Linked DNA regions of Macaca fascicularis. The protein of the gene in region 2 purifies or fractionates together with the protein of the main gene of each other region. This does not show direct contact. Links are inferred from orthologs where the notes say so. Each region holds a gene or a part of one and is shown on either strand. Other genes may lie near its edges.

Region 1 (4,264 bases), on a different chromosome or scaffold from region 2:
AATAGTGCAACTGCTGTGAAAAAGTTTGATGGTTCCTCAAAACTTAAACAAAATTAACATATGACCCAGTAATCCACTCCTAGGTACATACCCAAAATAACTGAAAGCAGGGACACAAACACATTTGTATGCCAATGTTCACAGCAGCATTATTCACAATGGCAAAAAAGATGAAACAATCCAAGTGTCCATCAATAGATGAGTACATGTGATGCACACATACAATGAAATATTATTCAGTCTTGACAAGGCTGAATGGATGCTACAACATCAACCCCGAAAACACCATGAAATAAGCCAGTCACAAAATGACAAACACTGTAACGAGTTCACTGAAATGAAATATCCAGAATAGACAAATTCATATATAGACAGATAATACATTAGAAGCTACCAGGGGATGGGGCGGGGGAGGAATGGGAAATTATTTTTTAATAGGCACGGTGTGTCCTTAAAAGGTTACCAGCACACTGGGCATGGTGGTGTGTGCCTGTAGTCCCAGCTGGTTGAGCCAAGGAGCTCAAATCCAGCTTGGAAAACAGTGCAAGACTCCATCTCTTTAAAAATTAAAACAAGGCAGGATGGCGTACAGGCTTTCTGTTGGAGGGAGGGATAAAAACTTGTAGAAATAGTGGTTGCACAACAATTTGAATGCTATTAATGCCAACAAATTATACACTTAAAAACAGTTAATGACCATGCACGCTGGCTCACGCCTGTAATCCTACACCACTTTGGGAGGCCGAGGCGGGCGGATCGCTTGAAGTCAGGAGTTCCAGACCAGCCTGGCCAACATGGTGAAACCCTGTCTCTACTAGAAATACAAAAATTAGCCAGGTGTGGCGGTGGGCGCCTGTAATCCCAACTACTGGGGAGGCTGAGGCATGAGAATCCCTTGAACCCGGGAGGCAGAGGTTGCAGTGAGCCGAGATGGGCGCCACTGCACTCCAGCCTGGGCGACAGAGTGAGACTCAAGAAATAAGAAATGGTTAACATGGCAAATTTTGTTACATATGCACACACATATGTATTTTGAGACGGAATCTCGCTCTGTCGCCCAGGCTGGAGTACAGTGGCGCGACCTCAGCTCACTGCAACCTCCACTTCCCAAGTTCAAGTGATCCTCCTGCCTCAGTCTCCCAAGTAGCTGCGATTACAATTCTATGCCACCACACAAGGCTAATTTTTGCATTTTTAGTAGACACAGGGTTTCATTATGCCGACCAGACTGGTCTCAAACTCCTGACCTAAAGTGATCCGCCAGCCTCAGTTTCCCAAAGTGCTGGGATTGCAGGCATGAGCCACCGTGCATGGCTTGTTATATAACTTTTTATCGCAATAAAAAATTTATTTTAAGCCAGGCGCGGTAGCTCACACACCTGTAATCCCAGCACTTTGGGAGGCCGAGGCAGGCAGACAACCTGAGTTCAGGAGTTCGAGACCAGCCTGGTCAATATGGTGAAACCTCATCTCTACTAAAAATACAAAAATTAGCCAGGCGTGGTGGTGGGCACCTGTAATCCCACCTACTGGGGAGGCTGAGGCAGGAGAATGGCGTGAACACGGGAGGCGGAGCCTGCAGTGAGCGGAGATGGCGCCACTGCACTCCAGCCTGGGCGAGAGCAAGACTCCGTCTGAAAATATATATATATATACACACACACACATATATATATAGCATATACATATATTTTTCAGTTACACACCTTTTACTTATATTAAAAACCCATTATGGTGTCAATCCAAGGAGTTATGTGCAGCGCTAAAGACAAGCCGGCAGTAGTTTGTAGGGAGATACACCCAAGAGATGAACACTCAGGAACCATCTTCACTAAACACACACCAAAAGCTCTTCCATCAACCCTTAGATAATAACTCGGGTTTTGGTAGTTTATTTTTCACTTTTGGTGCTTTGGTACCTAAGGCTTAATATTACGTGGAAATGCTCTTTGAGAATAACAAACACCACTCGACAGCATCACTCTCCCTTACCATGCTGTCCTAGTGCAATTTATTTGACCATGAGTCCCTTTAGGGCGGATACTACAACTTAATCATCTACCTATCACTTTTGTACCTAGCAGCCATAACAGTGCTAAATCTTGGGTCTGTGCATTCTTAACCGCCCAAAAGTTGCAACATTAATCACAAAAGCGTTACAATAAAGGCAAATCTCCTTTCACCTAACAACAAAAACTTCTAACTTCCCGAAAGTTGAGCCTGAAGACCCCAAGTGGAGGAATGAAATTTAAATCAAGGAGAATAACTCTCTACACTGGCAAAGGCAATTAACTGTTGTTCCAGGTTCCCGGCCCGGGTCCGAGCCCGCCCCCGCCCTCCTCACCAAGTGTAGATCTGCAACTCGCTGGACGGTACATTTCCCCGGGAGAACTCGTCCATTCGGTGGTGGCGGCCGTTATTGGTGGTGAAGACCCGCAGCAACAGTGGGCATGTCTGAGGGCGAGAGAAAAACGGAACGGCAGAAGTTAAAGACACCAGCTGCGAGCCCGGACCTCACCTCTCTTCCCGAGGCGTTGCGGCCTCCGAGCCGTCCGGATACCAAAAACACCGTCTCCTCCCGCACACAGGCCGCGCCTCTGCACCCTGCCGGGCCCACCCCCAATCTCTTCCCGGACCCCAAAGCGGAGGGGACCTTCACCTTCTCGCGGTCGATTGGCTTCTCTGGCTCCTTCTTAATTTCCTCCTGGGTAACGCGCGACTCCACCGCCATCTTCCTCCTACGGCCCGCTAGACGCTCGCCCTGACCTCCGACCCCTGCAGCGAGCATGAGCACGAAGTCTCTCGCGAGGAGAAGCTCGACACTTTATAGTCGGGCAGTGGCTGGGCGGGGCGTATCCTGGCGCAGGCGCACTTCCGTTCGTGGCGTGCGAGCCGGGCGCGCCTGCGTGTTGCGACTTCGGGAAAAGGTGGGTGCTGGCCTCAGTGGGGAGGAGCGGTTTAGCCTCCGTCGCCTGGCAGTTGGTTGCCGGGGTGTTTTTTTTTTCCCTTAAATATTCACAGGCGAAATAAGCTTAAGGTGGCGTTTTCACTCGTAATGACGAAAACCTTATTGGACACAAAACGTTCCTTTATTAGCAAAATATAGATCTTTCTGATAAAAGAACAGGTCCGCCATACCCGCCCCTGAGGTAAGCCGGAAGAGGCGTCGCCAGCGTACGTGGTCATGGAGCGATCCTTCCAGCCACATACACGGCGGCTTAGAGACCGGAATGCGAGCAGGAAACCCGGAACTTGTAGGAAATAACGTTCTAGAATATCTTCAGGACCTATGGATGGGAATATATGATAGAAAAAACTAACGAGAAGCAATTGATTTGACTGGGTTAGGACAAAAATAATCTGACCTTCAAAACTCCGTGATGAACAAACTCCATGATGAACCCAAAATGCCAAGTATATGACTGAACTTAAAAGTGATATCATCTTACGACTGAAAAGTGGGAAAAAAAAATACATCATAAGAGAGAAAAAAGCCACAGAGTGGGAGAAATTTGTTACACATATGATTGACAAAGGCAATTATCCAGAATATATAGGATGTAAACAGACAACCCAATCGAAAAATGGATAAAATTACTGAACAGGTGCTTTGGAAATGACAAAATCCAGAGAGGCAACAAACATGTAAGGTGAGCAAGCGCATTACAAATCAGGGAAATGCATTAAAACCATGATTAGTTTCAATTGACTGGTTTTTAAGCCACACCCACTAGATTGGCAAAAATTAGGAACTCTGGCCAGGCGTGGTGGTGGCTCACGCCTGTAATCCCAGCGTTTTGGAAGGATGAGGCAGGCGGATCACCTGACCTCCTGACTCCCGACTTGAGGTCAGGAGTTTGAAACAAGCCTGGCCAACACGATGAGGCTCCGGCTCCACTAAAAATACAAATAAAAATAAAAATAAAAACGGCCGGGCGCGGTGGCTCATGGCTGTAATCCCAGCACTTTGGGAAGCCGAGGCGGGCAGATCACGAGGTCAGGAGATCCAGACCATACTGGCTAACACGGTGAAACCCTGTCTCTACTAAAAATACAAAAAAAAAAAAAAAATTAGCCAGGCATGGTGGCGGGGGCCTGTAGTCCCACCTACTCCAGAGGCTGAGGCAGGAGAATGGTGTGAACCTGGGAGGCGGGAGGCGGAGGTTGCAGTGGGCCCAGATGGGCTACAGAGCGAGACTCCGTCTCAATAAATAAATAAATAAATAAATAAATAAATAAGCCAAGAGTGGTGACGAGCGCCTGT
Region 2 (4,281 bases):
ATCCATGTTTTTAAACAATTGCCCTTAATATTTAGTATGGGCCAGACACAGTGGCTCTTGCACTTCCAAAGTAATCTCAGCACTTTGGGAGGCCGAGGCAAGAGGATAGCTTGAATCCAGTTGTTCAAGACCAGCCTGGGCAACATGGCAAAACCTCATCTCTACAAAAAATTTAAAAACTCGTTGGGCGTAGAGGTGCCTAACTGTAGTCCTAGCTACTTAGGAGGCTGAGGTAGGAGGATCACCTGAGCCCGGGAGGTTGAGGCTGTAGTGAGCCCTGATCACACCACTGCACTCTAGCCTGGTTCAGAGTGGAATGACCCAGAGTGGAGTGACAAAAAAAAATTTTTTTTTTTTAGTATGGCATCTATTGGTGCCTTGCTATTTATTTATTTATTTATTTATTTATTTATTTATTTATTTTTGAGACGGAGTCTTGCTCTGTCGCCCAGGCTGGAGTGCAATGGCGTGATCTCAGCTCACTTCAACCTCCGCTTCCCGGGTTCAAGCAATTCTCCTGCCTCAGCCTCCCGAGCAGCTGGGAATATAGGCGTACGCCCGGCTAATTTGTTTGTATTTTTACTAGAGACGGGGTTTCACCATATTGGCCAGATTGGTCTCCAATTCCTGACCTCAAGTGATCCGCCTGCCTCGGCCTCCCAAAGTGCTTATAGGCATGAGCCACCGCGCCCGGCGCCTTGACATTAATTTTGCATCATGAATGCAACGGAAAGATCAGCCTATTTGACTTCAATAGTTTTCAGTCTCTTAAATCTCTAACATATCTCTTAAATCTCTAAACCATTTGTCTGTGACCTATTTTACTGTTTGTGTTTCTTCTGCATCAAGTTGGAGGATTGCTAGTGACAAAGAAAGAAGCCCCTAAACAATATGAGTTCAAGTACCAAAAAAGTTCAGGGCGCTTGCATTTTTCAGTTCTTGCCCTACAGGAAGCAGTTCCTCCAAGGGAACTTACTCTCTTCTTCGGAGAAATGGAGAATTTTCTTGCCACACGGCTTCCCAGGCAAACGCAAACTCAAACTCAAGTTGAGCGTCATAAATCAGTTCATAGTCTGGGTCTGAAGACACGGCGCTGCCTGCCTCTTCCCCACTTTGGAGGCCACGGAGCTTGTTATTCCGATTCCGCCCCCCTCCACAGGCCCCACCAAAAAAAAAGCCTAAGATGGGAGTGGCTGGGATTCAGAGGACAGAGGGCAGAAGCTGTTTGCGTTAAGAAGTAGGTGGCTTGCCCTATTAGGATAGTCCGCAAACACCGAGTCTGACCCGGCCCATAGAGGTACTTCCACCCCGCTTACCTCCCCTTTTCTCTCGGAGAGCACCCGAAGATTGTCAGGAGTCCTTAGACTCCAACTACCGCTGCAGCTTCCAAATTTCCTGAAAACCCTAAGCTGGGCCAGCCCGGCAGCCCACGCACTTCCGGCCTCGGACCCGCCCCAAACACCCAAGAGCCCCAGCGCCTCATCTCTAGGTCCGGAGATAAACGAACATCTCCGATTATGGTTATACCAGAGTCGAGGGCTTCCGAATATATTCGATTCAAAGCTTCGGCAAGACGAAGAAAACCGAGCCTGAAAGCAGGGCGAGAATAGGGGAGCTGCAGGGCGGATGGAAAGAATTGATTGGTGCCGATGTGGAGACGGAAATATCCGAGGACATCCGGAGGAAGCCGGGGAGTTCTGAGTGGTAATCGAGGGGTAGAGTATGGCAGTGGGCGGGGTCATCTCGGTACGTTCGAAGGGCGTTGGCGGAAATTACCGAAGATGCCCGAAGCCGTCGGGACGGACCCGAGTACCTCACGCAAGATGGCGGAGCTGGAGGAGGTGACTCTGGACGGGAAGCCTCTTCAGGCGCTGCGGGTGACCGACCTGAAGGCCGCACTGGAGCAGCGAGGCCTAGCCAAGAGCGGGCAGAAGAGTGCCCTGGTCAAGCGGCTCAAAGGGGTGAGGAGTCGGCGTTGCTGGGGTGTCGGAGGAGAGCGGACCCGGTAGAGACGAGCCTCTGCCGCGGCGCAGGCGCAGTATCCGGGCTCGGCGCGAGCTCGCTCAGGCCGCCAGCGCGAGCCTCTGGATCCGCGCGCACGGTGGTTGGTGAGGTTCGCGCTGGAATGGCGATCGCGCCGGTTCCCGCCTTAACGGCAGCAGCGCGAGCCCAAATGGGAGGGTGTGCACTACTCTCCAGGAGTGTCTTAAGCTCCTTCCTCCTTCCCCCACCCCCTCCTTGTTTGTATCTGTGGTTTCGGCGCATGCGCTGCAGAAGGAGTTAAATCCCACTACAACCTACGGCGTCGCTGGCCTGAGGGGGGCGAGTTGGGCTGGGTCGGAGTTAGGGGTATAGTTGCGCGGAGGGGTGGATGGGGTTGGTATCGGTATCTGCAGGAATAGGATTGGGGTAGGGTAAAATGTCTGCTCGATTAGATGAGGTGAGATGAAGAGAGACCTTTATGTGAAGGGACTTGATGAGAGAGGTGTCTAATTTATAGGGCATCTAGTGGCAATTTGGGTAGTTAAGAGTTTGGTGAATATTGGTGAGAGAGGCGAGGCAGGTTGATACATATTGGGGATTTTGAATCAGTTTAAGTAGATTAAGGTGGGAATGTCATGAGGTAGGTGTAGATCGATTCGAGTGTATAGGTTTGGTTTAAAGAAGGGAAGATGAGGATGTCTTGGTTTTAATTAGAGTTCAATAGGATACGTGGCAGGTAGTGCAGATTAGGTCTGGGTTGGCTCCAGGGTTGAGTTGGCAGACCGTTGCTTATACAGAAGCTGATTGTGTGTGTGTGTGTGTGTGGATGGACGGACTAGGTTAGACCACAGTTCACAGGGTCTCTGGTCATTTTCTTCTGTAGCCTCCTCTTTGAAAATTTTGTAAATTTGGTAAATCTAGGTGCCACAGTACTGGAAATTATACAAATTGACTCTAGTCCTGGGTAACCCTTTGACCAAGTAATTCCATCAGGCAAAAACCAGGAGCCCCATGGCTGCTGGTTTGAGTATTTTTAAGTAGTTTTACCTGCATGATCAGATTTAGAAGGGGCACTTGGCACAAGTGCAGAAGACAACAGGGATTTTAGTACTGGTTCTATTACTGATATTGTGACATAGCCAGGTCACTGATTCTGTGTGCCTGCATTTTATATCTGTACGTTTAGTAACAGTAACCGTGGCTACCTTTAAGGGTCTTCTGGTGATGAATGAGAACAGTGTCAGTAAAGGATTTTCAGGTCCCTGGAAGGGGAATACAGTTTAATTGTGTGTATTTAAGTCATTGCATTTAATTAAGAGGTTGTGGTAGAGGTGGGAGTTTTTCTTTTTTTTTCCTCATCATTTCTGACTTTTACCCTTCTCTATACCAGGCTCTAATGCTAGAAAATTTACAGAAACACTCAACACCCCATGCTGCATTCCAGCCAAATTCCCAGGTGAGAAAGGTTTATTCAATGGAGTGGGCTCTTTGGATATACAGACACATGGCAGGACGTGGTGTTGTATATTTCATGCTTAATTCCTCACGACTATTTTCCTAAGTTCCCTTGGTCAGAAATGTTCTCAAACCAGGACAGTTGAATTCGAATCACCCAGTTGTATACAAGGGCCTGGAGTAAAGAACAGAATCAAAGGCGCTATTAGTTTATAATAATTGAAATGGTATGTGCAGAAAGGTGTGGCTTCCATTAATTACGTGTAGTACAGAGATCTGAAGTCATTTATCTGCCATGAATTTAGGAAAGGTAGTTGATGTCTTTGAGTATAGATATGAAGTAGACCACCAATGTGACAGTGTAGGAAAATAGTTGCTAATTAAGAACTCTTGTTGATGTAGATTTACCAAGGATTCAATCCTGTGTAAGTCACCCACCATTACTAGTGTTAACTACTAACTCAATGCACTTATTCATAAGCATTACTAATAGTTCCTTTACTTAGGATAAGAAACTTAACCTTTGGAGGCCTTGGTTTCCTCCATTTCCTTATCTGTAATATGAGAAAAAGTCAAACTAAACCCATGGGTTTATAACTGCTCTCGGGGTTTTGTGGAGCTGCTTTGGGGAGCTTCTTAGGGGAAATAAATACCTTTTTCTCAAGTAAGCAAGGCTCATACTTCTCTCTTAAACTAGATTAGATCTACTTTTATCCGCTTTGACTATTGAGTTTCTGCATAAGATGTCTTTTAAATTATTCCACAGTTAAAATCCAAAAATTATAAGGCTGCACAGTCTCTTAAAGTTTCTTTCAGTTTTTGAAAATCCCCTCTTTATAATGT
Region 3 (4,211 bases), on a different chromosome or scaffold from region 2:
TTTTAAAAAGCAGTAATTGCACTGTACTTTAATAATATGCATATTGAGTGTAGGGGAAAATACATGCAAGTCTGCAATTTACTTTGAAAGAAAAACTAAGATTGAGAAAAACTAAGATTGAAAGAAAAACTAAGATTGATAAAAACCATCTAGCAAATACAGCAGAAATATAACTTACAGACTCTTAACCTCTGAGTTTTGTTTTGTTTTTTTTTGAGATGGAGACTTGCTCTGTCACCCAGGCTGGAGTGCAGTGGCACGATCTTGGCTCACTGCAACCTCCACCTCCTGGGTTCAAGCGTTTCTTCTGCGTCAGCCTCCTGAGTAGCTGGGACTACAGGTGCTTGCCATCAAGCCTGGCTAATTTTTGTATTTTTAGTAGAGACAGGGTTTCACCATATTGACCAGGCTGGTCTCCAACTCCTGACCTTGTCATCTGCCAACCTTGGCCTCCCAAAGTGCTGGGATTACAGGCGTGAGCCACCAGACCTGGCCCTTAAGTAGTCTTTATGTGGGTATTAATTGTATAATTTGACGTTCCTGTGCTTTAAAAATTTTTCAAAAATAAGATGAAAAAAAAGTAGGCACTGAAATTGCATGAGAGACTGCCTGCCATGTAAGAGTTTAGCAAAATGCCTGGACTGCAGAATGTGTTCAAATAGCGGTTACTCATTACTCAAAAGCAAACTAATTAGTTATGGGCCCTATTTTCCAGGGACGCCTTCAGTATTTCCAGTAAAGTTCTGCACAAGCTGCAGGAGTTGTTAAGTGCAGCTCTCAGGATGTGAGTCTCAGCTACTTCTGTCTCACCTTCTCCAAGAGCCAGTTGGTAAGGAGGACACAGCACACCAATGGGGTCCTGGTTTCCCTGTGCAGTACCTGCCAGGGGTGCTTCAAAATGCTGCTGAAAACGTGTTCTGACCCAAGAAAGAAAAGCACCTGGCTTTAAACAGTCAAATGAGCCAAGGAGGGCCGAACACCACCTCTGCTGCTCTTGTCCGGGGGTATCATGTTTTGCTTTAGAATAGTAAGGTTCTGCAGACACCCAGCAGATAGTGCCTCGACACTGTTGGTGTCCTCGGACAGTCAGTGAGTATCATTCAGAGTATAATTCAGAGTCTGCAACCAGAGGGCCTGGGTTTGATTTGAGGTTTTACGGTGTAATTTTCGACAAGTCACTTAACCTTTCTCAAGTTTCTTATCAATATGGTGACAATTACAATTCCAACTTTATAGTTACCCAGGGCATTAATGAAAAGCTCAATAATGTTAGGAGCAAGATTTGTAAAGGCTCCTCCCTCCCCCAGACATTTGTCTCCAAAGTCACACGTAATTTCTGAACTCTCAGCAGGGTTCCTGCACTCATCTGCCTTAGGATCACCTGCAGCAGAAATGTCCAATAGAAACAGTGTGAGGAGCCACAAGCATCACCTGAAATTCCTTAGTAGCCACATCACAAAAATGGGTGAAATTTTTAACACTTGACACATCCAAAATATTATCTTTCCAACATATAATCAACATAAAAATCTACTAATAAAAGTTTACTTTTTTTTCATAGTCTTCTAAAACTGGTATGTGTTTTAACATTTCAGTTTTGATGAGCTGTATTTCACATGCTTAGTAGCCACATGTGGCCAATGGCTACTTCACTGGACAGCACAGACCTAGAGTGGAGGTCACACCCGCAGATTTCAGCCCCACCCCCCCAGACTTAAAGATCTGCCCAAATGTACTTTGTGGAATCAAACACCACCAGTTATTCTCAAGCAGTCCAAACACTAAGAACCACTGAGTAAGCGGACGGCTCGCTGGGTGCGGTCGAGTGCTAGAAAGCAAAAGTTGAGGTTCTCTGTTCACCCAAGTTCAGGTACCGGCTCAGGACCTCGGTTACCTCCCCCATCCTCCGGAAAGGTGCGCGTCCAACAGCCAGAGAGAGGAGAGAACAATTAGTTAAATCTCGAGGAGAGGGCGTTTCGGCATAAATCTTCAGAGCACCTTCCCCATTTAAGAGTACATTTCAGGCACAGTTCATGAGAAATCAAGACAAAAAGCCTACTCCACGTTTCTCCTCCATCAACCTTAACCTTCCCGTATCCACCCCTCTGGGATAACCCATCAAACTGAGCTCGGACACCGTGTTCGGTCCATAGTGGGCCGTATCCCCACGGCCTAGCGCCGACAATTGCACACGGGAGTCCGGGAAACGTTCGCGGAGTACACGTTTGAATTAATGACTCCGAAGGATGGATCGGCCGACCTTCCACCGCATCCCACAAAGAAACTCCGCGCCCGCCGGCACCGGCCCGACACGCCGACCTCGCCGCTCCCCGTCCGCGTTCACTCACAACTTCCCCGTCCAGGCGCCGGGCCGCAAGCGCTTCCAGGGCAGCGCCTGGCGTTGGGGGCTTGGGTCTCCGGCCCGGCGGGAGGGCCCCAAGAACGGAGGCCGCGCTCACCGCTGCTCCGAGTCCCGCGGGCCTGGCTGGGCCACCGCCGAGCGGACGAAGCAGAGGCGCCCTTCCGTCCGCGGCGGCCCCGATCACTTCCGGGCCACGGCCTCGACACCTCCCACTCCGCCCGCCCCGGGCCACACTCTTTCTTCTCGGAGCCCGCACCGCGCTGCCAGGCCACCGCCGCACTGCGGGGCTGAGAAGTGGACCGGCTTCACGATGCGTCCTGCCGGGCCTGACGGGCAGCCCCCGAAACACGGATGCGGTCGGATTCCGCCCCAACTTACATCTTCCCGCCGCCACCACCTCCTCCTGCTTTCCTCAGCCTCCGAGGCCGGCGCCGCTCTGACGTCAGAGTCAAGGAGCGGGAAGACGCCGCCGTCCGGCGCGTAGCGATGACGTAAACGCCTGGCCCAATGGGCGCCGGCGGGGAAGTGTTAGACAGTCAAGGCAGTTTGTGGTAGCCGCGTTGGGGACGTTCAGGGTGTCTCCTCGCCGGTAAAGTCCCTGGGACTGACCGGACTGGCTGCACGCTTGCTGGAGCGAGCACATGGGTAGCCTGCTGAGCCTGGGAGGGCCGCGCGATAACCGATGCTCGTCGTCCGGAGCGGAGGGTGTTATCGCGGCCGTGCCCCGCCCCTTTCCTTGCGCGGGCTCCCTGGACCCGCCCGGGCCGATTCTGGCCCCTGTCGCCGGCGGTGGAGGCGGGGCTCCAGGCCCGGCTGTGCTGAGGGCGGCAGGGTGGTCGCACAGGAGGGGTGCGCAGCCTTTGCGGCCTTGCGTGGCGGGGCGTGGGGGCCTGCAGGGCGGAAGTAGCTCGGAGAGACGGGCTGGGGCAGGACTTGCGTTCCTGCGGTCAAAACCCACTGGTGGCGTTTGGGGTGCTCTCGTGGACGCGGCCTCCGCGCAGGCGGACCTCCAGGGTGGGCGCTGCAGGCGGGCTGTGCGGGCAGGAAGAGCAACGAGCTTGAGGATGGGAGATGGGGTGCAACGGGGGGCGTCTCCGGGCAGGTGACACTGCCGCTGAGACTAGAGTGGAAGGGCGCGCCCGGCGGGGGAACAGCAGACGCCGAGGTTCGCTGGAAGCAGGGAAGGGAGGCCGGGGCACAGGCTCGCAGGCCCGCGCCAAATTCTCAGTGGAGGCAGCACGGAGCGTGTGAACGGCGCAGCGCCGAGGCTTCATCTAACGGCCGGTGCAGGGTCCGAGCAGGGAACACTGTCGACCAGGGTCCGACTCTGGGAGAGTCCAGAGGTGGCGCCTCTGGCAGGCACAGAGGAGGGGGTGACGCTGTAGGGGCCCAGGCAGGAGGCTCCGCGTCAACGCCCCACACTGACGCGGCGGAATTTTTTTTTTTTGACAGAGTCTCGCACTGTTGCCCAGGCTGAAGTGCAGCGGTGCGATCTCGGCTCACTGCAACCTCCGCCTCCCGGGTTCAAGCGGTTCTCCTGCCTCCGCCTCCCGAGTAGCTGGGATTACAGGCACACACTACTACACTCGGCTAATTTTTTGTATTTTTATTAGAGACTGGGTTTCACTATGTTGGCCAGACTGGTCGCGAACTTCTGACCTCGTGATCCGCTCCTAGGCTTTCAGGCTCGCTCCAAAAGTGCTCGCTCCTAGGTTCGCCTTGGCCTCCCAAAGTGCTGGGATTACTTTACAGGCGTGAACCACCGCCCCCGGCCGGGTTTTGTTCACTGCTGTGCCTGTTAGGTAGTCGTTGCCCTTTGATTATTTGTGGAGGGATTGACTGTGTGCTC

Evidence for each region. The genes of interacting proteins can lie anywhere in the genome.
Region 1: the proteins of ACIN1 (region 2) and SAP18 fractionate together in Homo sapiens (co-fractionation; 7 studies listed by BioGRID and IntAct, with this or other methods). This does not show direct contact. The link is inferred for Macaca fascicularis from reciprocal best matches to the Homo sapiens genes ACIN1 and SAP18.
Region 3: the proteins of ACIN1 (region 2) and RNPS1 purify together in Homo sapiens (affinity purification with mass spectrometry; 6 studies listed by BioGRID and IntAct, with this or other methods). This does not show direct contact. The link is inferred for Macaca fascicularis from reciprocal best matches to the Homo sapiens genes ACIN1 and RNPS1.

Annotation. Positions count from the first base shown.
Region 1 is NC_088391.1:793,861-798,124, forward strand, and holds the start of SAP18 (histone deacetylase complex subunit SAP18), read right to left. Parts: upstream 2,801-4,264; 5' UTR 2,789-2,800; coding exon 2,660-2,788; intron 2,455-2,659; coding exon 2,345-2,454; intron 1-2,344. UniProt on the Homo sapiens protein: Component of the SIN3-repressing complex. Enhances the ability of SIN3-HDAC1-mediated transcriptional repression. When tethered to the promoter, it can direct the formation of a repressive complex to core histone proteins.
Region 2 is NC_088381.1:90,850,437-90,854,717, reverse strand, and holds the start of ACIN1 (apoptotic chromatin condensation inducer in the nucleus), read left to right. Parts: upstream 1-1,481; 5' UTR 1,482-1,649; coding exon 1,650-1,961; intron 1,962-3,373; coding exon 3,374-3,439; intron 3,440-4,281.
Region 3 is NC_088394.1:3,040,702-3,044,912, forward strand, and holds the start of RNPS1 (RNA-binding protein with serine-rich domain 1), read right to left. Parts: upstream 2,801-4,211; 5' UTR 2,743-2,800; coding exon of another isoform or gene 2,741-2,742; 5' UTR 1,549-2,740; exon of another isoform or gene 811-1,548; intron 1-810. UniProt on the Homo sapiens protein: Part of pre- and post-splicing multiprotein mRNP complexes. Auxiliary component of the splicing-dependent multiprotein exon junction complex (EJC) deposited at splice junction on mRNAs.